Linked DNA regions of Lonchura striata. The protein of the gene in region 2 interacts with the protein of the main gene of each other region in a pairwise test. Links are inferred from orthologs where the notes say so. Each region holds a gene or a part of one and is shown on either strand. Other genes may lie near its edges.

Region 1 (5,534 bases), on a different chromosome or scaffold from region 2:
CACAGAACCTCCTGAGCTGGAGGGACCCAGAGGGATCATCAGTGCAGCTCCTGGCCCTGCAGAGACAACCCCACCCTGGCATCCCGGTGACACTGGCACTTCACACACTGGTCTGCACTTCCACAGGGAATACTGAATTCCTCCTGTTCTCTGGGGGGGCTGGGGGCTGGTTACTGTAGATCCCCTGGTACAGCCCAGACCCCTGCACGCTCCTGCCTCCCCACACCCCCATTTCTGAATGTAGGAAATGGAGTGAAACACAAAGAAAAATCATATTCCTGTTCAAAAATACACAAATCAGTGATCTCAACCTGACCTCACAAACCCCCAGCAGAGCACTGAAGGTATGAAGTGCTCGGGGAAGTGAGGGGACAGATGGAAATCCATGAGCCAGCTGCAGGGCAGGGCAGGGGTCTGGGCTGTACCAGGGGATCTACAGCAACCACCCGCCCTCCAGGCAGCAGTCTGAGGTACAACTGTTTTATAGGCAAAAAGAATCTCAGAAATAAACCTAATCCTTCAATGCATTTTTATTCTAAAATAAAATAACTGTCATGCCCAGCCGCTCTCGCAGGACAGGACAAGGAGCTGAGGGGGCACAAACAGGGATGTGCAGCTTTTGGAGAAACGTGATGCTCTGCACCACAGCGGCGAGCTGGGGCACTGCCCCTGTCCCCGCCCGTCACCTGCCCCTCCGCACGGCGACAGCGACCGCAGCGGCCCCGGGCCCGGCCCCCGGGCCGGGGCTCAGTTCACGCGGCAGGCCCGGATCATGAGCAGCTGGAGCAGGATGAAGACGGGCGACATGATGAGCCCGTACCACAGCTCCCGCGTGTGCTCCACCAGCTTCTGGCACAGCAGCATCTCGAACACGAACTTGAGGCTGAGGATGGTGAGGATCCAGAAGAGCCGCAGCACCGCCAGGCGCTTCTCGCCGTCCTGGAACAGCCGCACGGACACGATGGTGGTGAAGTAGGTGCTGAGCCCGTCGGCGGCGAAGAAGGGCACGAACACGATCCACCAGGAGAGCGCGGCGGCCGCGCCGTCCACCTTGAGCACGAGCAGCACGGAGAAGGCGAGCAGGGCCAGCCCGTGCAGGAACAGCTCGAACGTGGCGAAACCGAGCCACTGCACGAGCTCGCGCAGGGAGAACAGCATCGTCCGGGGCTACGGCACCGGCCCGGCACCGGCACCGGCACGGGGACAGGCACGGCAGCGGCACGGGCACCGGCACGGGCACGGCACCGGCACCGGCACAAGTCCCTAGTCGGGCACCGGCCCCACACCGGCACCGACAGCGGCACGGGCACAAGTCCCCAGCCCGGCACCAGCCCCACACCGGCACAGGCACCGGCACAAGTCACTGACCTGACCCAGCCCGGCCCGGCCCGGCCCGGCCCGGCCCGGCACCGGCACCAGGCCCGGCCCGGCCCGCCGGCGCGGGGCGATGGCGTCACGGTGAGAGGCGACGGACGGATGATGTCATCAGGCGGGGACACAGTGAGCGGGGGCTCCCAGCGCCTCAGCCTCGCCGATGACGTCAGCGGGAGCTGTCGCGCGGCGGTGACGTCAGAGGCGGCATGGAGCCGGTCCGCGGTGAGTCCCGCAGCGCGGCCGGGCCGGGCCGGGCCGGGGCTGCTCTCCGGCAGGGGAGGGTTCCCGGGAGCCTGAGGGGGCTCCAGGAGAGCTGGAGAGGGACTGGGGACAGGGGATGGAGGGACAGGACACAGGGAATGGCTCCCACTGCCAGAGGGCAGGGATGGATGGGAGATTGGGAATTGGGAATTGTTCCCTGGGAGGGTGTGAGGCCCTGGCACAGGTGCCCAGAGCAGCTGTGGCTGCCCCTGGATCCCTGGCAGTGCCCAAGGCCAGGCTGGACAGGGCTGGGAGCAGCCTGGGACAGTGGGAGGTGTCCCTGCCATGGCAGGGGTGGAATGAGCTGGGCTTCGAGGTCCTTTCTAACCCAAACCAGTCAGTGATTCTGCGATTTTATTTTTTATTATTAAGATTTAATTTAATACTATTCTGTGGGCACATGGTGGTGGCAGCCGTTTGCAGCTCAGACAGAGCTGCATTCCCTCCGGGCTGGGCCCTTGCTCTGTCAGTCTGGCCGAGAGCTCCGTGTGCTCTCTTTGTCTGTGCTGAGCCTCCAGGCTCTGCCCCAGCCCCCTCAGGGGAGGGAGGATTCCCAGGGCACACGGGAAGGTTACACCAGGACTGGGGAACAGGCAGTCCCAGAGCTGTGCTCAGCCTGTGCTGGCGAGGGCAGTTCAGCGGGGCGGGATGTGGATTTTAGTCCCTCCCTGGCCTGGCAGTGGGGACGAGGAGCACAGTAGCGTCCCTGCTTATTGTATGGGCTGGGACATGGGATCACACCCTCAGTGCTGCACAGGGGTGGGAAGAGAGCCTGGGAGCCTTGGCCCCACAGCTGAATGCCACCCCTGTGGCCCACTCTTGGCCACCCCTGTGCTGGCTGCATGCTGTGTCAGCCCCGGGATCAGTGCTGCTGGGCCCGGGCAGCTGCAGCCCTGACTCCCTTCCTCTCCTGCCCTCTGTAGGAATCCAGAGCTTCCCTCTGGCTGTCCTGGCAGGCCTGGGACCCTGGCAGGGGTCAGGAACCCCCTGGACACAGCCCCCAGAGACACTGTCTGTGATCTCTGTCCATGGAAAAGAGTTTTCAATCTTACAGGATGAATTATAACCCCTGAGTGTTTGATATAAGCAATAATTAAGTGTGGCACGGGTGCAAAAGTAAAATTTTAGGATTCTAGATTAGGGGTCCAAAGGAGGCAAGACGGAGGAAATTGGGTGTGTCTTGTCCTTTTTCTCCTTCTTCATGCCCTCCATGTTTCACTGTGGTGTTGGCATTTTTCTGTTGGTTCAGGCTGGGGACACACTGTCCAATGTAGGTGACAGATATTGGCACGTTATTGTAAATCCAGCCCAGGGAGTTTCTGGTATTGAATGTTTGTCACATCCCACTGAGGGCAGAGCCCCACACGCTGCCCTGCAGGACAGAGCTGGGCAGGGCAGCAGAACATGTGAGAGATAAACAGAATAAACAACCTGGAAACCAGCACAGACCAATTATGGCTTCTGCTTTGGCAGTGGGGCTGACAGACAGAGACTTTCTACAATCTCAGAATCATCAATACCTCAGATTCTGACACCCTCTGCTGACCTCCTGCTCTTGTCTCCTGCAGATGGCAGAACGGGGACTCCTGGTGCTTTTTGGCAGCCAGACTGGGACAGCTCAGGACACGGCCGAGAGGGTTGGGAGAGAAGCCCAGCGCCGGCACCTGCGCTGCCGGGTGCAGGCCCTGGACAGCTGTGACGTGGTGAGTGGGACACTCACTGCTCCGGGCACTGCCCTGCTCCAGCCCCATGGGCACCAACACCTCCCACAGCACTACGGAATCGTGGAACAAGCTGAGTTGGAAGGAACCCATCAGGATCATTGAGTCAGCTCCTGGCCTGCCCAGGACACCCCAACAATCCCACCCTGTCCCTGAGAGTGTTGTCCAAACACTGTTGAACTCAGATAGGCTTGGTGCTGGTTGCTCCAAGCCTTCCCCTGCCTGGGCTTGGACACTTCCAGGCATCCAGGGGCACCCACAGTTTCTCTGGGCAACCTGTGCCAGAACCTGGTCACTCTCACTGGGAAGAATTTCTGACTTAAACCTGACCCCCTTCAGTTTATGGACATTCCCCCTTGTCCCCAGTCCCTCTCCAGCTCTCCTGGAGCCCCTTCAGGCCCTGGAAGGGCTCTGAGCTCTCCCTGGAGCCTTCTTTTCCCCAGGCTGAACACCCCGAGCTGTCCCAGCCTGGCTCCAGAGCACTTTGGAGGCTGCTGACCTGACTGTGCCATGTTTGTACCCACAGGCCAACCTCATCCACGAGCCCTTGGTGGTGTTTGTGTGTGCAACCACCGGCCAGGGAGACCCACCTGACAACATGAAGGTAAGATGTGCTTCTGTCCTGTTGCTTTTATGTTCCTGCTGCAGAGCTGTCTCTCCTGAAGCAGCTCGAGCAGGGGTTGTTCTTGCTGGGGCAGCTTTGCAGCAGCATCACTCACATCCCAGGGAGCAGGAGCAGGGGCACTTCTGCTGAAAGCCATGCTCCCCACTCTGCTAGGATGCAGGAGGCCCCAGCGGGTGGGTGGGTGAGCAGGGATGCAGGGCCAGGCAGGCAGGAGGGTGCCTGACAGCAGCAGGACTGGCCAGCTGTGTCTGTCCTAGATGTTCTGGCGGTTCCTGTTCCGGAAGAACCTCCCTGCCAGCTCCCTGTGCCAGCTGGACTACGCTGTGCTGGGCCTCGGGGACTCCTCCTACCCCAAGTAAGCAGCTCTGCAGCCCCTGGGCAGCTGCTCCTCACAGCTCTGACTGCACTAGAGAGCAGAGTGGCTGGAGAGCCAAGGGGGTAAGGGGAGACAGAGTCTGATTCTGGAGCAGCAGCCCAGACAAAATGTAACTCCCACCAGCCTTAAAAATCCTTGCCCTACTGTGTCCCTCCTCACCCCCAGGAATTAGGCATCTGCCCTTTTCTTTCCTCCCAACCTCACCAAGGATTCTTTGCTGCAAAGGGTCAGACATAATGTGTCAGTCTTTTATCACAGCTATGGGCCAAGGCAACAGGGGACATCAAACAGAGGTGGCAGCCAGCCACGTTGGTCCCAGGTCTCTCCCAGAAGGTTGTTCTGTGTGCCTCAAAGAGTTCTAGTGGGGAGGATGGGTGTGCCTGGGCTCTGTGGGGCAGTGGGGGGCTGGAGGGAAGGAAATGTTCTATGGCCTAGGGCACAAGCTGCCCTGAAAAGAAGCTGGACCTCCCCTTGTCCCATCTTGGGGATGGGCAGAGCCTGTGAGGGCCAGCAATTGGCACTTAGCTGGGTCTGTGAACTGGCATAGACCGGGCAGGGCATGGGCCAGGTCACAGTGCTGGCTCTGCCTGTGTGCTGCTCTGGTGGCCCTAGCAGCATGTGCTGGTGCTGTGGCAGTGCCTGCTGCACTGCTGCAGCAGCCCTGCCCTGTGTTATTCTCTGCTCAGGTTTAATTTCATCGCAAAGAAGCTGCACAAACGGCTGCTTCAGCTCGGGGGCAGCCCGCTGCTGCCAGTGGCCTTGGGAGATGACCAGCATGACCTGGGGTAAGAGCCCAGAGGAGGGTTGGCAGGGGGGCCCTGGGATGCCCTGCAGCTCTGTCCTGGGGCTGATGGCAGGGCTGTGTGCTGCTCCCACCTTGGGGCTGCTCCAGCTCTCTAGGAATGTGCTGATCTCTGCTCATAATCCTCCTGTGCCAGGACCTGGGCTACCTGCTTCTCCAGGGTGTCCCATGGCCCCCAGAATGTGGCCATGACCCCTGGCTCAGTCCCAGACCTGTTCAGAGCAGGGCATGGCTGTGTCACACAGCCCTGTACCTGTGGGCATTGCAGCATCCTCAGCTGTGCTCACCTAGCACGGGGCAAAGGCTGTGGATGGTTCAGGGACAGTGACCCCAGTGACTCAGTGCTGCTCAGGACTGGAGATCCTGTTCAGGTGT
Region 2 (6,945 bases):
GAGTGTACTACATTGATTCTGCTTGTAGAAAAACTGTGCCACTGTAATCACAAATCCTCTGCTATATTAATCATAACATGATAGGAAAATGAAGTTCTGATTGAAATGACAATTAAGGGCCATCATCATTCTGCCAAGGATCCCTTAAAAGAACATACGGGTCCCCTCAGTATTGGTGACACTCCTGTGTGACCATACCTGTTTTCTAGGCCATCCACATAGATCTTCCTCCGGCGACGACTATCCTGAGCTGCCTGCTTGTTCCGAATCTTACGACGCACTTTCCTCAGAACTCGCTCCTCAGCCTGCAAGGTTCACCTCATTAACAGCAATCCCAGGGTGTTGGCAATCCCACCCTCTCAGACTGCGCTCACATATCAATCCTCAGCCCTAGTGCTTGTGTCCTCTGTCCTTCGTACACCAGTGAATAAACTGCAAGGCAAACCCTGGCCTTGCTGGTGCAGCCAGCAGCTTCCGTGACTCAGCAAAAGTAAGGCGTACCTAAGGAAAATGAAAAGCACACAGACCACAAGCCACTAGGCAAGCAGGAAAAAATAGCTGCAGGCACTCGTGGTGTAATTGCCTCCTGCAAACAGCCACAAGTCTGGAGACTGACAGCAGCCAGAAGCTGCTGTGCACATGGACAATGCCCTGGACTCGAAAGAAGGAAAAGGACACTGAGCCCAGATGAACACTGCCTGGAATGCAGCATCTGGACAACATATTCTCATCAAGGCACTGTCCTGCAGTTTCAAACCCCTACGATACCTGATACATTAAGAGTGGTCTGCATGGTTCTAGTGAGGACTCACTTTGGTCAGTGGCAGACAGGTTGGTAATGTAACACCTTCTTTCTCCAGGAGCTGCTTCTCCTCCTCTGTCAGGACCAGCTCTGGGAAGTCAGACTAGAAAACAGCAAAAATAAGCCTACTGAGAATGCATACTACAGGGAGTCCATCCGCCAGCAAGGGCACATAGCAAACACACAGAACTGGAATCAGCTCTTCCAAAGTAATGTCATGCTTTCCCTCAGAGATACCCCTCACAGGAGCCAAGTCAGAAGAGAAGGAGAAATGTGAGAAGCAAAGGCTGGGGTCCACAGGCATGGGAGTCAGTACCTGTACAATGGCTCCAGGCACAAGCTGGGGTTCATCTTCCACAGCAACAGCAACGGGGGAACTGGTGCTCTGTTCCAGTGCCTCACTTGTACTTTCCAAACCTACCCATGCCCCTGGGGAAGGAAAGATGAGTCAAATGCTGGGCCTCACTGAGGCAGCACCTGACCAGCCAGCTTTGAGTGGCATGAAATAGCAATTTTATAACAGCAGAAAGCCTTTAATCTTGGCTCTCTCCATCTTTGCCTGACACCCCCAAAACAAACCAGTATGGGACTACTTTTCTCTTTTCTGCCTGCAGCCAGGGCACAAAGAGTCCGTAACATCACTCACCTAGCTCAATGGTAACATCTCCTTCTGCCATGTCAGACCTCACACTTTCCAGTGTAGGCCACTCTTGATGAAGGGAGTAGTTATGATCAACGTGCACAATGTCTCGGCTCGCAAAATTGCTATTGAGGCAATGGGACAGAAGCTGATCCTCAGAAATGCTGCTGTCATTGTTGGCAGGCAAGTAACTGAGCCTGTCTGGTTCATCTTCTAAAGGGCTCAGCAGTGAGCTGATGAAGTCATCCATCTCCTTGTCCAGGAGCTGCAGAGGAATAGCTTTTACTCAGCAGGGAGACAAACCTCCTAAACCTCAGCTCAGCAGCAATTCCTTACAAAGAACTCACCTCAGGCATTGGCAGGCCCCAGTCTTCCAGCAGACCATTCTGCTCCCCTGGGATTTCAGGGCAGGGAGCATCCTCCTTCAGAAGAAAGTCAAGCAGATCCACATCTGCCAGGGCATCCAGTTCCTCTGGGCATGACATCTGAGCAGGACACCCAAAGTGAGCACAGACACAACAGGAGACACCAGCCTTGCTTTAAGGTGTCCCTCAGACCCTATGAAGTATCCCCATGCAATGTCAACAGCAGGAATGGCCAGTTCACAAGTACTTCTCCAGCCAGGTAACATCTCCTTCTGCCATTATAGCACCAATGGTGACAATACAAGGTTATTTGGACCCAGCCACAGGAGCCATGCTCCACCCAGAGCATAAAAGCTGCAGAAAGGACAGGAAAAATGAAACAATCCCAGACTTAATGGTGTGGAGAGCAGGCAAGATTCTGCTGTTCCACAGAAACCTGAAGGTGCCATACCCCTTGGTATGCAGCGAGAGCTTCCTGTGCCAGGAAAATTAAGAACAGTCTTTGCTGAGGTTTTAACCAAAGGGATTCTGTTAATGATTAAATCATGATCAAATTCTAAGTAATCGATGACTGAGCAAAAATTAAATGGCAATCAAATGGTGATTAAGTGATCATTGAAAGGTAATTAATAAGTGATTTGACAGACCTATATGATGACTTAGCAATTCAGACAGCTGTCAAACACAGTACTGTTTAACACACTCGTAATAAGTAAGGGGATGAAACAAATAAATAGATGGATATATATAAAGGTCACTAGCACACAGTATACCTTTAGGCTGAAAGTAAAATGCTCCTTACCTTACTGTAGAGATCAGACACTGGTAAAGAATCTCTCTGCCCTGAGGAGTGACCTGGAGAGCTGTCCCTGCTGCCAGGGACGTCAGGGCCCAGCGGCGTGAGAGCAGCAGAGCTCAGCGGCTGGAGGCGGCCACAGGTACGGGGAGGGCAGTGAGGGACCTGCAGCCAAACACTGCCCTGGGGCTTGTGCACCTGCGTGGCTGTGGCAGCTTTAGCTTGGCCTGGTCCCAGCTCGGGCTGCTGCTGTTATGTCCTGACAAGGCATGGCCCAGGAGCCTCGGTCCCTGAGGAGATGCGGCCTCGCATGGCTCTCGGCGGGATCAGCCCGGCCGGCTTGTGGGCGATGCCTGAGCCAAGGCACCACTCAGGCTGTCAGAGCACAGGCATCCATGGCACCTCTCCATCAGCACTGCTAAGCTTTCACATCTAGCTGTCAAGTGTCACGGTCTGAAAAAAAAAAAAAAACCCAGAAAAAATAGAATACCACCAAAACCACCTGAAACCCCTCCCAAAACCAGAGGGCCAGCGCAGTCCCCAGCCAGGACTGCTGAGCCAGCTGACTAAGGGGAGAGCTGTCAGCAGAAAGTTCAGCAACAAGAGGAAGAGGAGCTGGGCAAATCCGGGCAATGTCAGGGCCCATGGCTTCCACAGACGGTTTCCCCCAGGGAGCGTGCGCCGGGCAGGCAGCACGGGCAGGACGGGAACAGGAGGAGCAGGTGCGGCAGAAAGGCGAGCGGAGCGCAGGGGCGGGCACATCCACCCGAGGAGAACCAAGCAGCCCGTCTCAGCCCCGGCTGCGGGCCGGACCCGGCTGCCCGGACCGCCGGGACCTCCGAGCAGCGGAGCCCCGACCCCCGGTCGAGCCCGCGCCCAGCCGCCCCTCACCTCCGCCTCGCCGCTGCCAACGCCCCGCGGTGACGCCACCCAGTGTCCCGGCGGGCCCCGCGCGCGCCGCCCCGGCTCCTCCCGCGCTGACGCACCGCTCGCCTATTGGCTAGGAGGAGGGGGGCGCGTGGCCGGCGGGAGCGCGCGCGGGCGGCGGGAGCGCGGGGCGGGGCGGGAAAAGAGGGGAGCGGAGGGAATGGGGGAGACGGGTTGAAGGGAGGGCGGTGGGTCCGGGGTCATGCCGAGCCCCGGGGGTGTCCCGGGGCGGGCGGGCGCCCGGGAGTGCGATGTGAGCAGCAGGTGGAGCACGGCCACGCTGCGCGGGCGCGGAACCGTGACCAGCCCCGGGGCGTCGGGCCGAGTCGTGCGGGTACAGAGCGCTGTCCGTGGGAGCGGATTGCCCGTGGCGCGGTGTCCGGATGGAGCGCAGCGCCGAGGCACCGTGCAGCGCGGCGCCGCGTTCTGGCGCATGCGCGTGGCGGGGTGGGGGGGGCGGGAAGCGGGCGGTGCCGGCCGCTCAGCTCCCCTCAGCGACGCGGGGCCGCCGCGCTGCTCCTGCCCGCGCAAAGGTACGGGGACGGAGGACACTCGGTGTCCCGGTAACCGGGGGCTGGGGGCTGCGGAGTGGGGTCCTGCGGACCGGTAGGGCCCTGAGTCTCGGGGGGCTGCCGGAAACGGATGTCCTGGGGACCCTGCCCTGCACCCCCCCGGTACGTGGCGGGGAGGTAGGGAGGAAGCAGCTTTCCGGTTACCGGGGTTTCCCTGCTCCAACCGGGGTTTGTCCGTGGGGCTGCGGTGACCCGAGGGCTTCCGGGGTTCGCTCAGACTTTGGGGCATGCCCAGATCGCCCCTGGCACCGGCGCCGCCGGAGCACCGACACCCGCCGGAGGCTCCGGGGTAACATGGGCTGGCGCGGCCACGTTATCCCCGGCCACGTTATCCCGGCCTTGTACTTGCCCTGCTTCAGCAGGCTCTGGCCTGGAGTCCACCGTGGCGAGGCCCGGGCCAGCATCCCCACCTCGGGGGTCTCTGGGGACCGAGCTGGACAAGCCTGGCCGTGGCCAACAGTCCGCGTAGGCCAGGCGCGGCTTTTCCCGGGGCATCCCGCCCACCCTGCCGGGGACGTGGGGAAAAGCGCGTGGCAAGGGTGTCCGTGTCCTGCTGCGTGGTTTTGGGTGGGGACACCAGGGCTTCCCGTGACCACACCGAAGCCAGGGACGTCACCCGAACAGTTCTCACTAGGACACACAGCTGGCTATAGGCCCCAGGATGGGGCGCTGGGGTGGTTCCCATGCAGGGTGGGACTGGCCCTAATCGGGGAAGGCTTGGGTCCCCACCATATCCCGGCTGAGACAACTAACCAAGCAGGGAGAAACGCTGCCCCATCTTCTGCCTGTTCCCTGCCGGATCCTGCCCGAGCCCCTGCAAGCTCCCCATCCCTTTGAATCTGCCGGCAGGATGTCTACATGCTTTTGCCGTGTCTTCATCGCTGCCTGTTAGACCCATATTTGGTAGCGATAATTGTTTACTCCCTTCTCTCTCTGTGCCTTGCTGCTGAGAAGGGAAGGGCGCATATTTTTGGGATCTTTAGTTTTGCAAAACCTGTGAGCTGCCTAATAAAAGCTCCAGACCACCTGCCTTTCCCTGGATCATAGGGTGAAACCGCCCAAGTGCTGAGTGAATCTGTGATGGTGCATGGGAAGTACCACCCAAGCATCAGTTTCCTTGCTGAATGGCAGTGGCAGGAATTTGATGCTCCCCAAAGTGACATATCCTATTAGATTTAGGGAAGGGGGAGTGGGAAGGCTGAGGAAAATGAAAAGAGGCCTGTGGGGTGCCCTTCTTTTCAGAACTGAGCTTTGCTGGCTGCTGACCAGCAAATGACCCAAAAATGCAGCCATGCTCTCTTCTTTCTTTCACCTTTCTGCCTGTCCAGCAGCACAGTGCTGGGCAAGTTGCTTGTTGTGGGAAGCATGGGTGCTTGGATCAGGGCACTTAGTGCTTTCCAGAGGTCATGACAGCATCCACTGCAACTCAACTCCTGCTCTTGGAGTCCTGTGCTAGAGGGCCAGCTTGCTAAGGATGCAGGAGAGGCTGCAGCTGGGGTCCCACCATGCCTGCCTTCATCATGGGCAGTCTAGAGGTGCCATGATTTGTGCTCCATTCCTTTGGAGGTCAAGCGATGCCCAGCAGGAGCAGACAGGATGTGAGATGTGTGTGAAACATTGGCAGACAATAGCTGGAGCTGCTTCAGCTCAGTGCATGTGAGCAGGCAGGCAGGCTGCGGCTGCGATCCTCCAGCCCAGCTGTTTGGCCCCTGCCCATTTCCCATGCAGAACAGGGCTGCTCTCCCTGAAGGAGTGAGAGGATGCGCCTGTCCTAGCCATGGCTAACAGCGGAGTGGTCATGGGGGTGCAGTGTCTGGCCTTGACAGCCACTCATGCTCCCCAGGAGCAAGCTCAGCCTCAGCTGGAAGAAACTGTCCTCCCATCTGACGTGGACATGCAGCTGGGAAAGAGGAACTGGGTTGAACGGTCTCAGCAGCGTGTGACACTAAACCAGCTGGGGCTGCTGGCTCAGTCTTCCCATTGGTGCAGGGCTGAGCTCTGCCTACCTCTGCCTGCTGTGGCTGTGTATACTGGTCCTGCACCGGAGAACACAGGAGAACCCAGCTAGAGCCTAGTCTGGCTTCTTACCAGCTTAATTTTTGGTGTTGATGGTGTGCAGATGTTTACATGCTGGCCAAGCCACTGTTGCAGACATTGCGTTTTGGTGGCCTGGTATCTTCCTAGCTGTGCCAGTGGCTGTACTGGCTGGGCTGTGCCTGTGGAAAGCCCCAGCACTGGGATGGTTTGCAGCTGATGAAGCTTCCTGCAGCCAGCTCCTAGTCCAGAGGTGGTCTGCAGTGGGGCCTTTCCCAGGTGAAATTTGGTATTACCATAAAAGAAGGAAAAACCAAACCCCATTCCAAAACCTCTTTCAAAGTATCCCTTAAGAGAGAACGTAATAAAAATGGCAGAACTGTTGCATCTGAAGATTTGCAGCTTGTTCTGGAAACTCATCACAAGTGTTCCAGCTGTCCACAGTTGAATTTTGCTTAATTTTTTTTGTCTTTTAAGACGCAAACCCTTCAAATGTAACTGTTACTTCAGCAGTGAAGTCATCCAACAGAAATACAGTAATTCCATCGTGTGACCAAAAACTCACTGTCAGTGGTCCCCAGCAATGACGCGGTTCTTTGGGACACACATGTCCTGTCTGCCCACAGCCCTGCCTGCACTGGCCCTGCTCTGAGGCAGAGCCTGGAGCCTCCACCGCTGTCTTGGTTTTGCTCACCTTGCGTGGGGTGAGATGGAGGAAGCCGCAGCAGCTCCTGGGGAAGTGGTGGGACCCCACCAAGGTTAACCCCTCCCCCTCAGCATTTTGGGATTGGCTCAGAAGCGTGCCTGTG
Region 3 (7,730 bases), on a different chromosome or scaffold from region 2:
AGGACACCCCAGGAGGTGCAGAGAGCCCAAGCAAGGTGCTTGCTTGTGGAGGCACCATCCCAGCAGCACCATCCCAGCAGCACTGTGGTTTGTGTTCTCTGGCTGGCAGAGCCCCACAAAGCTGTGTCTTAGCCCATTAAACCCTGGGTGCAGCAGGACTATTAAAAGGAGGTGAACTTATCTCCTAATCGTAGTAGTAATACAAAAAGTGACTTCTTGTTACATCACCCCCAAAGAGGTGCCCCAGGTGTCCCGCCTACATCCAAGAGTGCTCAGGCTGGGATGCAAAGCCAGGGAGAGCCTGACGTGCAGCAATACAGGCAAGAGAAAGAGAAGGACACTAAACCTGAGAAAGATGGAGGATTGTGACTCACACCAACATCATGCACCCCAAAGAGGCTGTGATGAAAGTCCCTCATTGCTCAAACTGGAAGGGTAATTAGATGATCCAGTTCCCTTCTAGCGAGGCTGTTAAAATCCACTGTCTAGTTTAGGTAATTACTGGTACTCGCTTTGATCACCCCTATATGTCCTGCTTGCATAGATAAAATGTTTAGAGATTAATTTGTCCTTAGTCAAAAAGATTTGGGTGATACAGAAAAGGGACCTGTGGCCAAAGGAGAGAGCCACAGGAAGGGGCATGGAGACACCAGTGGAATGAAGGCTGGATCTTCTTTATCTCTCCTGCATTAACACATTTTTCCCCCTTTCCAAAAATCCTGGAAATTTCTGAAGGAAGCAGAGGAGGATGCTGGATGCTTGTGGGACCAGAGCATTCTGAATCCCTCAGCATGGGGATGATGGAATCCAGCGGGCAAGGAGAGGCCCTGGCAAAGCTGTGGAATATAACACTTCCTCCAAAGACCTGTTTGGGCTACACCTGCCCCAAAGCACCCAAAGCATGAACCCAAGCACTACCAAGGACATCACCTCTCCTCATAGAAGATTTCTGGGGGGTGGGGAGTAGGGCAGAGCAGTTCACACATCAGTGCATGCTGGACATGGCCTCACTGTCCAGCAGGCAGTTCTAATCCCTGCCCTGTGTGGTTCAGGCTGGGATGGTTTATCTGGCAGCAGCAGTGTCTGATCTCCCTGCGCCCTGGCGTTATCACGCCATGTATTTGCATTGGGATGGTGGCAGCTCCCCTCGGCAGGAGAACCCGTTTGTCCGGTACCTTCCTTCGCCCCAACCCGTTGGGCTCGTCACACCTGCGAGGAGGCGGCTCAGCGAGTGTCCCAACAGAGGAGGTGCCACCGCCGGCATCCGTCCGGGGAAAACGCAGGCACTGCACCCAGGCTGAAACAAAGCCCTGTCTGTGGCGCTGGGGCCGAGGCTGCGCCCTGGGGAGGACACCCAGCGAGAGCAAACAACCAGCCCGAGGGACCGGCCGGTCACTGACCCCGCTGGGATGTCTAGAGAGGAACTGCTGGGCTGGTGAAGGGGGCCGGGCTGGCCCCTCTGCTCAGCATCCTGCCCATGGTGTGCTGTGAGGGCTGGTGGCTGGGTAGGAGTGCCCGGTGCTACCCGGAGGCTGCGGAACTTCCCCAGGGAGCTCTCTCTTCTGCCTGGACAGCACGGGACTGGCACAGTGGGGACAGAGCTGTGTGTGTCCCATGACATCAGGCAGTCAAGGAGATGGCTGGGCTCCTCTCCTCAGCAGTGGCTGCTCACCACTGGCAAACCCCAGTGCCCACTCTGTGCCATACAGTCCTGCTAAAACTGACACTGAGCTCCATCTCCTGCATTGCTCCAAAGACCCCAACATCTCCATGCCACACTGGCACGACAGATCCACCCATCAGCCCTGCTTCCTAGCATGGCCAGGGCGGGATGTGGCTGTGGAGTGGGACCCTGTAAGTACCCAGCTCTGTGCACTTGGCGCCCTGTGGGCCTCAGGGTCCCCTGCACCTCAGACCCCAGAGAACTCCTGGGAGCCAGGAGGCACATGGGATCTTGGAACCCTGCACACCTCAGGCACCACCCATGCAAGATCCCAGGAGACCCAGATATCCTCTGTCCTCTTCACCCTTCACACCCTGTAGATCCCAGACCCTACAGAGCCTGATTCTATGGGTCCTGTCCTCCTCAGACCCAACACACACCATGTCCCATACAGCTCAGACTGAGATTTGGGTGCAGTAAACACCTTACATGGTACATGCACTCCCTGACATGTACACCCCAAAGCCAATCCAGTCTCTGCAAGTTGGACTCTGATAAGCCTGGACCTGGAGTGCCCTACAGACCCTGTATGGCTCAGACTCTGCACAGTTTGGATCCAGGGTGCCCTACAGACCCTGCACATCTTAGACTCCATGCACTCTGGACTTGAGATGCTCTATAAACCCTGCACTACTCAGATCCCAGAGAGCACAGACCTGGGGTACCCCATCAAAACTCGATCCAGGACCTGGGGCACCCTATAATTTCGGTACATCCCAGTCCCAGGACGTGGGGTGCCCTATAGAACCACTGTACATGCCGGCCCTGGGACCTGGGGTACCTTAGAGACACTCTGAACGTCCCGGGATCAGGACACTCCGTACAGACCCTGCACACCCTGGGGCACCCTACAGCCTCTGTATCTGCCAGTTCCGAGACGTGGGGCCCCCCATAGCCCTTGTTCACCCTGGAGCAGGCACCTGAGGCACTCCGCAACCCCGTATATGCCCCCGGGCTCCCCTATAGCCCCCGGTCCCGGCTGGGCCCGCGGCGGTACCTGCTCGTCGCCGGGCTCGATGTCCCCCACGTAGTACTGCTCCAGCCAGCGGCGGGCGTTCTCCGAGTGCCGGTGGGGCGGCCCGTCCAGCGCCGCGCTCACGTCGGTGCCGGCGCGGCGGCGCAGCAGCTGCTCCCCGCCCGGGTGCAGCCGCACGAAGCCGCTCAGGTCGTACAGGCGGCGGTGGCAGGAGACCAGGCAGGCGCCCCGAGCGCAGCGCGCCCGCACCTCGGCGGCGCTGAAGGACCGCGGCCCCGCCGTGGCCATGGCCCCGCCGCCGCTCCGCGTCCCGTCCCGTCCCGTCCCGTCCCGTCCCGTCCCGTCCCGTCCGTCCCGCCGCCGCGCTCTGCCCGCACCTGCTCATCTGCATACATGCATATGCAGCCAGGCCCCGCCCCGGGCCGCGCCCCGCCGCGGCCCATTGGGCAGCCATGGGCGGGTGGGCGTGGCTGGGGTGCGGAGGCTCCGCCCCACCGCAGGTACCCTGGAAAGTGGGAATGAGGCATCCCTGGAGAGGCAGAGCGGGGCGAAGGGGGCACAGCGCGCCCAGAGGGTGAAGGGGGACATGGGGCGTGCCCAGGGGAGGGGACAGGGCCCCCCAGGGGCCATGGGTATGGTCAGGGTGGGGGAATGGGGGGTCTGGGCAACCTTGGATGGATTATGGGGGGCACCGGGGTACCCCGGGGTGGAACTGGAGTATGGGCATCCCTGGAGCAGGGATGAGGCTGTGAGGGCATCCTGGGGTGGTAGCTGGGGGGTATAGGGCACCCCTGGGGGAATCACCCTTCCCAAGTTACCAATCCCCTTCCAAGGTTCTTGGTGGCCAAGGCAGGGGACGCCCCAATCGTGGCTCAGAGTGCCCCAGAGGAGCAGGGTCCTTCCTGGGGTCACCCAGAGGTCAACTCATCCCAGGGTCACTTGCTGCCAGGCACCACACCCCCTTCCCAGCTGTTTGAAGATATATTTCAGTATTTAAATAAATTTGCAATTAGTCAGGGGGCAGGAGGCAGCCCCAAATACTCCAAAGAATCACAAGCAAATAATTAATAAAGAATGACAAGAAAGGAGTTTCCCATGCATTTTTTTGGGAAGATTTCCCTCTGAAGTGAGGGGGGCTGCTTTGGGGTGACACCCTTAACCACAGGGGCTGGCCACGTGCCAGCAAATTTGGCGTTGCCGGCCACACTGGGCTGCAACCAGTGATTAAGGTGGGGTTTGCCATCCCAGGAATGGGGAGCCCCCCCAGCCCCACCTGTAGGGGTGGGTCATCACACCACCTAGGCCCCCCGGCTTTGGGGTGCTGTGGGGCGCAGGCCAGGCATTCACTGAGGCCTTTAATCAAGGTGGATGCAAAACCTGCTGTGGCAGTCGGCATTGGCTCCACCTTCCCACCAGCTCCTGGCATGACCCTGTCACCTGCTTGGGGGAAAAGTCATTTTTTGGGTGGGCAGATTGGTTTTGCACCCTGATAGGAGCAGAAGGGTTAAGGGTGGGCATGCTCCTGGCTAGGGCTGCTGCAGGGCACCTGGGGTGCATTGGGAGTTCCTTGGGGTGGAGGACAAAAACATTTTCTGGGGGTTGAGAGGGCCAGAGTAGTCCTGAGAGATTGCTGGGAGACCTCAAATGAGGTGCTGGAGTGGGACACTCTCCAAAGGGGGCTCCCCAATACCCTCAGTGGCCAAGGTGGTCCTAGTTGTGACAGGTAAGCTCAATCCAGCACAGCTCTCTGGGGCATTAGGATGGCTTCTGGATGGACATTGAGGATTTTTTAATGAGCATGAGGGCAAGGTGGGGGGGGCAGATCTGAATGAGCTGGGCCTCTCAGCTGGAGGCCACTGCACCCAATTCCAAATCAGAGACCCCAGACTCCAAGCATGCTCAGGTGCAGTGGCCACTATCCCTCTGTGGGGTGTTGGAGGAGATGGAGATGGCTGTGATCCCATCACCCAGTCCCCACTGGCTGCTCTTGCTTGTGCAGCCCAGCCCTACCTTGGGTTTGGGGCCACAGGCTGCCAAGGGCCACCCTCTGTAATCACCACTCATGGCAGAGGTGGGTCCAGCCTTTGCCAGCCCACAAAGCCGCCGGGTGACCTGTGGGTCCCTGCTGCCATCCTCTCCCAAGCACACAGAGAGCTGTGGTCCTCAAATGTGCCACAGCAGGGCTCAGGGATATGAACCAGGCTCTTATGAGCTGACATTTCATCTGCCCATGTTACCTCCTGGGTGCTGTGGTGGGGCTCTGTCCCCCCATGCAAGGCACAAGGGTGTCCCTGCAGTGGGTGAGCCAATCCCCAGCTCTGCAGTGAGACTGGAGCAGCAGTGGGACCCTGTCACCTGCAGAGCAGGAATGCACTGAGCACAAGTGGCACTGGGAGAGGGACAGTACTGGGAGCAAACTGTACAGCAGATACCAGTGTAACAGGATCAAACTGGCAGCAGTTTGAATGCCAATGCCTGTCCTTGCTGGAGTTCTCCTCCCTGTCCCTGTCCCTGCACCATGCCAGCTCCAGGACAAGCAGGATCAGGAAGTGTAGTTGGTTTGCTGATCAGCCTGGCTGGAATGAGAGCAGCCAAGTGGCTTCTGGTCATCAGTTCCTAAACTGGTTTCCCCACCAGACGGACGGACAGACGCTGGGGCTGGCACACAGGAGACAGCAGGAATGTGCTGCTGGGCTTGAGGCAGGATTAGGCCCTGCAGTGCTGGAGGGGCTGATGCTGGGATAATGGAGCTGTGGCCATCAAGGAGGAGGAGGCCAATACAGACTCTGCTTGGTATTGCATCCATGGGAAAGGTTTTCCCTCTTTGCTAAACACTGTTTGTTTCTCTGCCAAACTTGATCATCAGGGATTAAACTTCTTTCTGTGTACATGGAAAGCCTCAGTGGGGATAGGGAAGGCACACCATACTTGTTACACCCTCAGTAGGAAAACAAATAGGATTTAAAATGTTGACAGTGGCATTTAGGGCACAGCGTGGGTTGTCGTGGGTGCCCTCTCCCTCTTCCAGCCCTGTCCTTGAGAAAGCTAATGGATACACAGGTAACAGCTCCTAGGATGCACTTGGCAGGCAGTTGAAGCAAGTTTTGGCAAGCAGCTGTTCAGGGTCAGACCTAAGGTCTTCCACCCTTGGCATCCTCCCCTGCACCGGCCTGGGAAGGATGCCAAAGCAGGCGTGGGGTGCGTGGGCATTTCTGCAGAGCACTGCTGGCTGGGCTCTCTGGACAGAGGTGGCCTGAGATGGAGCTCCTCTCCTTGGCAGCGTCCAGTCACTCCTGGAGCCCTGGCAAACCCGTGGCACCGGGGATGCCCTGAGGGAAGTGGTTTGACACCTCTCCTGCGGTGCCAAAGAGCGCTCCTGCCTGGTGCAGAGCAGCTGGTTTAATCCAATGCCCCCTTGCTCCTGCCCCAGCAGAAACCATGGATGGGTCATCCCCTGCCCTGCAGCATGACTGACCACTCTCCTGAGCACTGCATCAGCTGAAGGCTCTATCCAATTCACCTGGTTTGATCACAGCAGCATCCTCAGAGCAGGTCTGGCCCATGCTCACTGCCTGAGCAGTCCCTGCCTCCTCTCCCTTCTCTAAAGCTGAAATTCAGAGTGAGGTTTGGCCTCACTGGGGAACTTGTTGCACTTGGTACCAAGATATTACAGAGAGCAGGTGGGTGCGAGCACAGGCAGTCGGGGGTGGGCAGCACAGAGGAAGGGCTGCTGTGGGGCACCACCACGCTCCATTTCTGACCATTTATCGCTGCCCTGCACAGCAAAGGCAACAAGGTGTCTCGCTTCGGGCGGGAATAAGCCGCTCGTGTTTCCTTGCAATAGTCACTTCCGCACGCAGTGGGGCTGCTCCCAAAGGAGCCACCAGACACGCTGCAGGGTGAGAGACAAGCTGGCAGCATCCGGGAAGAAATTCCACCTATCTGTGCAGGGCTACACAAACAGCCACGGCAAGGGCTTTTCCTCTGAAGTGCCGGCCGTGCTCCGCCTCAGGGGCACTCACATACTACAGAGATGGACCGTAATGGACTGTAATAACACACTAAATACCACGATTTGTCGGTCCGTCACCTTTAAATAACAAATCTCCTTTCCCTTCCAAGCTACAGGAGCACTCAAGCATGGAAATGAAAATACTTGCAGGCTGAATGGCTGTCACGGAGGGAGGCGGGAGCCCTCTCCGTGCAGCTCCCGGCGAGGAGCGCTGCCCGGGGCGGCGGCGGCGCCGGCGGGACCCGCGGCGCCCGGGGCCGGACGGGGCCGGGCGCTGCCCGGGGCCGGACGGGGCCGGGCGCTCCCCGGGCCCGGGCGCTCCCCGGGCCCGGGCGCTCCCCGGGGCCGGACGCTGCCAGGGGCCGGACGCTGCCCGGACGCCGCCCGGGGCCGCCCGGCCCGCAGCGTGCAGCGTCCCCGGCTTTACCGGCAGCTCAGACACCGCCCGGCTGTGCTTTCCCAAGAGGAGCCTCAACCGCGGGCACTTCCCAGCCTGCTCCCAGGTGTCAGCACATTGTCCCAGCCAGGACCCAGCAGCGGCTTAGCTCTGGTGCGGCTCTGCTACTACCGAGCCCTCTGCTTTGGGGTGCAGGGAGAGCTGCTGGGGCCCCACACAGAGAGAGCAACACCACATGCTATCAGAACAGCACTTAAAAAAAATAATTTTAATGTTTTGTTTAAGATACATCATCTGTTTATTCCAAAGCAGGATCCCACTGCCTGAGCTAGCACAGGGGTTGGGAACGGGCATGGCACACGGCACCACTCAGCAGGCAAGCGTGGGAGAAGGGATCAGTGCTGGTACAGGTGGGGATAGCTCCAGCTGGCTCATCCCTGAGCACACATTTGCCCAAATTCAAAGCTCAGGCTGAAGCCAGCCCTGGAGAGGCACAGGCTGCATGATCCAGGTGTGCACACACTGCACAGCAGCATCCCTGTGCTGGGAGTGCCTGGCAGGCACAGCCCCAAACAGACAGATCCATCAGTACATTCTCCAGTTGATGCTTCACAGTGAGGAA
Region 4 (7,527 bases), on a different chromosome or scaffold from region 2:
GACACTACTGACACAAGGAGAAGAAGGGGCAGGACAGCAGGACAGTGCTAGGCTGGGAGCTGGTAGGCAGTCTGTGCACTTGGCCCAGCTCCAGCCACTTGCTGCCCAAGCTCCTGAAGTCCTTCTCAGAGCAGAGGAGCACTCAGGCCTGACCAGAGCAAAGGTGACACTGGAGATTTTAGGGCACCCTCCTCTGTCCAGGCAGCAGGTGAGTGCAGAGCACAGGGGATGTTGTCACCAGGGCACAGCCACCCCTGGGTGTCAGGCAGCACAGAACAGGACCTCCAGCAGCAGCAGGGATGGCCATGGTGCTCCAGAGGCCACCCTGCCCTGCTGCCTGCAGGCTGCATGCCCACCCCTTCCCAGCAAAGCAAAGAGAACTCCCCTCCCTGCCCTCTTCTTCACTGGCTGAAGTCAGGATGTGAAACACCTGCCTGTCCTCAGCCATGTTTTCCAGAAAGTGCAAGGAATATTTACCACCCAGGCCCACCAAAAGAAAGATGTGTCATTTTGTCACCAGTTTATGGCTGGATGTCTTTAATCTTCAAGATACATCACAGAGACCTGAGGAGGAAGAGGAAGAACCAGCAGCAGGAACTGCCAAACCCCCTGTTTGGGTGGGAGCTAGAGGACATGGCTGGCTTTTCCATCCTGGAAATTAATATTTCCTGCCAAACTCTGCCCAAAAAGCTACTTCTGATCTTTGCAGTGATTTGCTTTACAGAATGAAGATGAGCAAGACAATGCATCAGCAGGTGCCAGAGCCACAACTCCAGGGAGCTTCCCTCTGCAGCCAGGGCACACCAGGCTCCTATGTCTCCCACGATGACATCCAGTGCTGTGATCCCAGCTGAAGGGACAGGCTGGCACCCAGTGAGGATCCTGGAAAGCTCAATCTGCCCCTGGGCTCTTAGTCCAGCCTCTAGCGTGCAGCTGGAGGTGGCACAAGGCTGTTGGGAGCAGGCAGAGAGCAATCCTGCACAGCCAGCAGGCACGGTGGTCTCTGCTGTGCCACTGCCTCAGCTCTGAGCATCACAGAAATCCACAGTGGAAAACACAGGGCACTCACTTGTAACATTCTTGTGCTGGGACAAAGCACAACCCAGGGTCTGCGTGGTGAGGGAACAAGGGTTGGGCTCCTGCTCAGCCCACTGACAACAAACCCAGTGTCCCACACAGTCTTTGGCACGCTCAGGCCACTGCCATGAAGCTTCTCTCCCTCAGCTCAGGTAGCAGCAACATAGCACAGGTGAACCTTCACCCAAGGACAGAGAAAAGGTTCTGAGAAATACAATCTTTAGTTTTTAAAACACTCCATTATTTAAATAGGCAAAAACTCTTGTGCAAATGATGCTCAGACAGGTGTAAAATACAGAGAATAGCACTTGGTGCTCACAGGTGCACCACAGCCAAAAACCTCAGAGGGAGGGGATGTCTGAAATTCCTGGCAGGCCCTAGACAGGACAGAGGACTTCACCAAAGTGCCTTCCCACACCTCCAGGCAATGTCACACACTGACCAGGGCATGAGCCAGTGTGGGCTCGGGTTTCATTCCTCAAGTCTGGATCTAGGACTCCTGTCCCTGCCATTCCGAGCAGGCTGATGCAGTGGGACATCAGGAGCTTCCCAGAGATGCTGTGACAGCAGGTGTGACAGCACAGCTCTGGCATCAGCAGAGCCACCAGTGAATGCAACCCTGAACACACAGAGCACACAGCACCTCTGACAGCCTTTAATCTCTGCAGGCACACCAAGGTCACACAGCTGTGCCAAAGGAGGGGACACATGCCAGTCCAGAGTGCAGCAACTGTGCTGACTTGTCAGGCACTGTGCAGGTGGCACTGGCTGAGGGGGCACATCCAGAGCTCCTGCAGCACCTCTGCGAGGTCACGCTGAGTGGCACAGCACGGCCTGGCCCAGGCTGTGCCCACAGAGGGCATCCAGGGGCACCGTGTGTCTGAAGGTCACGCTGGCAGGGGCCAGCTCACAGCCTGTGGAACCTGCTGATGGATTCCTGTCCCTGAAGGTCACGCTGGCAGAGTGCAATGTCACAGGCTGGAGAGCAGGCACAGGGCGCTGCAGGGCACGGCCCCAGCCCGCCGCCAGGCTCCCGGTGACACCGCGGGGGCTGCCCAGCCCCGCCACGGCCCCGCCGTCACTTGAGGCCGTAGAGGAGAGCGATCCCCAGGAAGAAAAGCATCCCGATGGAGAGATCGGACAAGACCCGCAGGCGTCCCTGTGCCGCGGTCTCCTCCCGCCGCAGGCGCAGCTGCTCCCGGCGCGCCCGCAGCAGCTGCTCCCGCTGCAGCTGCTCCCCGTAGTGTGCGCGGTAGAAGGCGTCGAAGTCGAAGGGCGTGGGGACGGGCCCGGGGCGGGCGGCGGCGGCGCGGGGCGGCGGCGGGGCGGCGGCGGCGGCGCGGCCCGAGGGCCGGGGCGCGTCGCGCAGCTCCGCGGCGCTCAGCAGCCCGCGGTCGTACCTGCGGCGCAGCGCGGCGCTGCCCAGCACCCGGTAAGCCTCGCTGACGGCCGCGAAGCGCTCGGCCGCGGCCGCGCTGCCGGCGTTGCGGTCGGGGTGGTAGCGGAACGACTTCTCGTAGTACGCCGTTTTGATCTGCGCCGCCGTCGCCGTGGGCGGGACCCCCAGCACCTCGTAGAGGTCGCGGCGAGGCCGCGGGGGTCCGGCGGCGCCCGTCTGCGCGGCCCGGGACGGCGGCGGGGCGCGGCCGGGCCGCGGGGCCGCGGGGAGGAGGCGCCGCAGCCGCGCGAGCGCCGCCGGCCCCATGGCGGCCTGAGCGCCCGCCCGGGGCCGTGCCGCGGCGCGGGGAAGTGACGTGTGCACCGACCGGGCCGGCACGGCGCGGGGAAGTGACGTGTACACGCACCGGGGCGGCACGGCGCGGGGAAGTGACGTGTGCACGCACCGGGGCGGCACGGCGCGGGGAAGTGACGTGTGCACGCACCGGGCCGGCACGCGCGCGCAGCATGGCGGGCAGCGGCCGCCGGCCCGAGCACCGCGGGCCGCCCGAGCTGGTGAGTGGCGGCGGACGGGAGCGGCTCCGCCGGGGGAAGCGGGCTCCGCTAGGGGAAACTGGGCTCCTGTTGGGGAACCGGGCTCCGCCGGTGGAACCGGGCCCCGCCGGGGGCCGGGCCTCACGGCGGCCGCGCTCTCTCGTTGCAGTTCTACGATGAGGCCGAGGCGCGCAAGTACACGCAGAAGTACGGCGGGAGCAGCTGCCGGTCGTGGGGCGGGCACGGACGGGACCCACCGGGGCTGGGGGTGGTGCTGGATCCCGCCGGGAGCGGTGGGGATGCTGCCGGGGGGCGAGGGGCGACAAGCCCCGCACCGCCTCCCGGGGGTACCCCCGGGAGGCGGTGCGGGGGTTGTCGCCCCTCGCCCACGCTGTGCCGTGCCTCAGCTCCCGCGTGGTGGAGATCCAGTCCCAGATGTCGGAGCGTGCCGTGGAGCTGCTGGGGCTGCCCGAGGACCGCCCGTGCCTCCTCCTGGACGTGGGGTGAGCGGGGCTCTGCCGCCTCCGTGGCACGTCTGGGGCTGGGTGGCCCGATGCCACAGCAGCAGGGTCTTCTGTGGGCTGCTGGGACGCTGGGGTTGTGTGGCCAGCACAGCCTCAGAGCAGCCCCGTGAGCCCAGCGTTTCCCCTTCCTCCCTCCAGCTGCGGCTCAGGGCTGAGTGGGGATTACATCTCCGAGGAGGGTCACTACTGGATCGGCATGGACATCAGCCCTGCCATGCTGGGTGAGCACAACCTCCCCTGAGGAGACCCTCAGAGGCCCCAAGGGTGGCAGCTGATTGCCTGGGCTGTTTTCTGTGCAGATGTGGCCGTGGAGAGGGAGGTGGAAGGAGACCTTCTCCTGGCAGATGTGGGTCATGGCATTCCCTTCAGGCCTGGCATGTTTGATGGCTGTATCAGGTGAGTCTGTACAGCTGAGCTCTCCTGGCATCCCCAGAGCACCCCGATGCACACCTGGTCAGTCACAGGTGAGAGGCACTGGCCTTGTCAGCCACTCTCTTTGCTCTGTGCAGCTTGGCTCCATCACTCCAGGACAAACCTCCAAAATTCTGCATGTTAGAAGTAGCTTGTGACAGCTGCTTCCCAAGTGATGCTTATTCTTTTTGTGCTGGTGAGCTGGGAGTTTTGTTGAAGGAAAGAAAGTAAAACTGGGGGTATTGTCAGCGTAGAAAAGTCAGTTTTTGGATCAAGGTTTGATGCTTGGCTTTGGGATGAAGGGGACAGGGAAACTTACCTGCTTAGAGAACAGCTGGGAAGAAGCAAGGGCTGTCCATTGCTGAGCCAAAAGCTCTGTTTTAGATTGCTCCTTGGGAAAACCTGCTTGGCCAGGCAAGGGACACAGCTGAGCTCTCCAGCATCCCTCAGGAACTGTAATGATTGGACCCAGGAGTAAGGGGTTCAAGCTGAAAGGGGGAAAATTCAGGTGAGATACACAAAAGAAATTCTTCCCTGTGAGGGTGCTGAGGCCTTGGCACAGGTTGCCCAGAGCAGCTGTGCCTGCCCCATCTCTGGAATTGTCCAAGGCCAGGTTGGACAGGGCTTAGAGCAACCTGGTCTTGTGGGAGGTGTTCCTGCCCACAGCAGGGGCTGGAACAAGCTGAGATAAAAGGTCTCTTTCAACTCAAAGCATCTGTCATTTTAGGATTTGAGCACTTGGACTAAAGGGGATGCTTGGTGGTGCTTTTGTCCTTTAAGTTATGCACCTTGTTAAGTTTTGGCATAGTGAGCCTCCAGAGGGGTTTGTGTAGCTGTGAAACAGAAGGCAAAGCAACACAGAGGAAATTATTTAATTTCCCTGAGGCCCAGCACATGCCTAGTGCAGGAATTCAGCTCAAAGGGAGGTGGCAAGCTCTGTGAAGGAACCAGTGGTGCTGTCATGAGGGTCTTATTTTCCTTTCAGTATTTCTGCGGTGCAGTGGCTCTGTAATGCTGACAAGAAGTCACACAGCCCCCCCAAACGCCTCTACAAATTCTTCTCCACTCTTTACACTGCCCTGGTAAGTGCCACCCTCTGCCTGCCAAGTCTCTGCTGCTCTTATGTCTTTGCTTTTTAGCAAGGTACTTCAAGTCAGGTTGTTTTCAGTAATTGCTGCTCTGAAGCAGGACTGGCAGGAGCAGCCACTGCCTGGTGCTCTTTTCATCAAGGTTGGACTTGATGGTCTTGGTGGTCTTTTCCCAACGTAACAGTCCATGATTCTGGGATACCTGGTGTTCCCCAGTGCCTCACTGGCTCTGTGGGCTGGGCACCTCTCCTGGGAGCCTTGTCCTGGAGGTTTTGGGGAGGAGGGAGCTCATGTCTGGGGCTGGCATGGGGAGCCAGAGGGGGTGACCTGCACTGGGACAGGTGTGATCAGCTGTTTCCTGCAGGCCCGAGGATCCCGAGCTGTGCTGCAGCTGTACCCCGAGAACTCCGAGCAGGTACAGCCCATCAGTGAGCTGGGAGGGGGTACAGGCAGAGAAATCTTCTGGGGATCTGAATGCATCGTGTTCTTCCACATCAAGGCAGTGTCTCTGTCTTGCCTACCACTTCTAAAGCCCTTCAGGAGCCCAGGAAAATAACTTGTAAGGAGGAAACCTTGTAGAGGTTCTGTTGTTTCAGAGATTTGTCTTGGCTGAGCCTTAAAGTGGTGGGATACAATGTGAGTGTGGGTTTGAAGAGTGGCTTAACTCAGGTTTGGAAAATCCAGCCCAGTGTCCCTCTCCTAGAGAGTCTGCTGTGCCAGCTAACCTAGGCTGGACTGAGGAGGAGGGAGAAGCAACAAAGGCAGGGAATTGGTCTCTTGATGGGACTGCAGAACCAGAGATGGGTGCAGAGCTTAGCAGGAGGAGGAGCAGTCCCTCTTGGGAATGCCCAGTTAGGTGTGGTGCTCCCAGAGGTCTCTTGGGCTTTCCTGGGGGATGACTGGTAATTAACTTTGCACCTGCTGCTTTTCCCAGCTGGAGCTCATCACAGCCCAAGCCATGAGAGCTGGATTTACAGGGGGAATGGTGGTGGATTACCCCAACAGTGCCAAAGCCAAGAAGTGAGTCCTGGATCTCTGTGTGTGTTTGGGGTAAAGGGTGGGTTTACCAGTCTTTATTTTTTTTTTCCTTTTTTTTTTTTTTTTTTTTTTTTTTTTTTTCCCTGAGCTGTTCTCTCTCCCGTTATACAGTTCTGGACAGAGGTTAAAGTTTAGATATGACTCTGTTATAAACCATCTCAGTCTTGCCTGGGGACTGAGACTCACAGGCTGAATCCCACATTTATGCTCCTTATTCTTGTTCTTTCAGGTTCTTCCTCTGTCTCTTTGTTGGGACATCTGGCACATTACCAAAGGTGAGGGTCTCCATGAGGCAGCAGAGCTGCTGTCCTGGATGATGTGGAGGAGCTGTGGGCAGTGTGGGAGCCAAACAGCTCTGTGAGTGCAGATGTGACTTCATTTATGCATTTTCTGCCAGTCACCAAGCCCTGCTCTCATATAATCACAGACTGGGTTGGAGGGGACCTTACAGCTCATCCTGTTCCACCCCTGCCATGGCAGGGATATCTTCCACTATCCCAGGTTGCTCCAAGCCCTGTCCAACCTAGCCTTGGGCACTTCAAGGGATGGGGCAGCCCCAGCTGCTCAGGACAGCCTGAGCTAGAGCCTCACCACCCTGATAGGCAAGAATTTCTTCCCATATCCAATCTAACCCTTCCCTCTTTAAAGCTGTTCTTCTGACATCTGCCTTTTTTTGCCACGATTTTTGGAAGACCAGTTTGTTCCTGCTCTGGTCCTTCCCCTTGCAGATCCCTGCATTCCCCTTACTTTTGATAGGCTGTGCCTGGTCCAGAGGAGAACACAACTTCCCAATTTTGCTTTCCAGGGCCTTGGTACCGAGTGTGCCAGTGAAGAGCTGCACCAGGCAAAGTTCACCAATGAGAGGTATGGTGTGGGGGTGAGGCTGCAGGTCCTGCCCAACAAGGAGTAGGGGCCTTTGGGGGCTGAGCTTTACTGGGGATCACACTGCTGCTGTGTGAGAAGCAATGGGAGGGGAAGGCCAGGGAGGACTCACAAAACAGTTAGTCCCAGGACTCTTCCATGGGGCTGCAGGTGCTTTCCCTAGAGCTGTGGCTGAGCCCAGCACTGGGCTCTCCAGCTGGCAGTGGTGTGGGGGAGGGAATGTTTACAGGCTCATGATGGAGCCATGGAGGCAGGCTCCAGTGCCTGAGTCCTGACATTCCCTTTTAACTCCTGTCCAAGTCTTAGATGTGGCCTGGGGGTTTCTGCTGCTGGCCAGGTCTCTTCCCACAGCAGTGGTGCAGGGAGGAGCCCCTCTTGCAGCCATTGGGAGAGACAAAACAAAAACCAGAGGAAAGTTGTCGTGGCTGCCAGGAGCTTGTGGCTGCCATGTTTTCCTGCCTCTTACATTGCTGTTATCTGCTCACTTAGTCTAAGGGGTATCTGGTCTTGGAGGGCAGTAGCAGAGCTGGGAATGTTGTAGGAAGCCTGACTTTGTCTGCCTTGTTTGGAGCAGA

The links.
Region 1: the proteins of CREB3 (region 2) and TMEM203 interact in a two-hybrid assay, tested with the Homo sapiens proteins (2 studies listed by BioGRID and IntAct). The two-hybrid records come from large-scale screens. The link is inferred for Lonchura striata from reciprocal best matches to the Homo sapiens genes CREB3 and TMEM203.
Region 3: the proteins of CREB3 (region 2) and FA2H interact in a two-hybrid assay, tested with the Homo sapiens proteins (2 studies listed by BioGRID and IntAct). The two-hybrid records come from large-scale screens. The link is inferred for Lonchura striata from reciprocal best matches to the Homo sapiens genes CREB3 and FA2H.
Region 4: the proteins of CREB3 (region 2) and DNAJC30 interact in a two-hybrid assay, tested with the Homo sapiens proteins (2 studies listed by BioGRID and IntAct). The two-hybrid records come from large-scale screens. The link is inferred for Lonchura striata from reciprocal best matches to the Homo sapiens genes CREB3 and DNAJC30.

What each region holds. Positions count from the first base shown.
Region 1 is NC_134624.1:5,297,588-5,303,121, reverse strand, and holds TMEM203 (transmembrane protein 203), read right to left. Parts: upstream 1,393-5,534; 5' UTR 1,159-1,392; coding exon 748-1,158; 3' UTR 516-747; downstream 1-515. Other genes in the region: NDOR1 (NADPH-dependent diflavin oxidoreductase 1), read left to right, coding at 3,204-3,338, 3,883-3,960, 4,239-4,336, 5,044-5,142. UniProt on the Homo sapiens protein: Involved in the regulation of cellular calcium homeotasis. Required for spermatogenesis. Acts as a regulator of STING-mediated inflammatory signaling in macrophages.
Region 2 is NC_134642.1:39,589,190-39,596,134, reverse strand, and holds the start of CREB3 (cyclic AMP-responsive element-binding protein 3), read right to left. Parts: upstream 3,021-6,945; 5' UTR 2,610-3,020; intron 1,928-2,609; coding exon 1,790-1,927; intron 1,708-1,789; coding exon 1,449-1,707; intron 1,232-1,448; coding exon 1,119-1,231; intron 906-1,118; coding exon 813-905; intron 306-812; coding exon 199-305; intron 1-198. UniProt on the Homo sapiens protein: Endoplasmic reticulum (ER)-bound sequence-specific transcription factor that directly binds DNA and activates transcription. Plays a role in the unfolded protein response (UPR), promoting cell survival versus ER stress-induced apoptotic cell death.
Region 3 is NC_134615.1:15,869,258-15,876,987, reverse strand, and holds the start of FA2H (fatty acid 2-hydroxylase), read right to left. Parts: upstream 3,007-7,730; 5' UTR 2,988-3,006; coding exon 2,721-2,987; intron 1-2,720. UniProt on the Homo sapiens protein: Catalyzes the hydroxylation of free fatty acids at the C-2 position to produce 2-hydroxy fatty acids, which are building blocks of sphingolipids and glycosphingolipids common in neural tissue and epidermis.
Region 4 is NC_134622.1:3,876,830-3,884,356, reverse strand, and holds DNAJC30 (dnaJ homolog subfamily C member 30, mitochondrial), read right to left. Parts: upstream 2,783-7,527; coding exon 2,156-2,782; 3' UTR 521-2,155; downstream 1-520. Other genes in the region: BUD23 (18S rRNA (guanine-N(7))-methyltransferase), read left to right, coding at 2,983-3,030, 3,179-3,216, 3,417-3,512, 3,672-3,754, 3,833-3,929, 4,930-5,026, 5,397-5,447, 5,967-6,052 and 2 more. UniProt on the Homo sapiens protein: Mitochondrial protein enriched in neurons that acts as a regulator of mitochondrial respiration. Associates with the ATP synthase complex and facilitates ATP synthesis.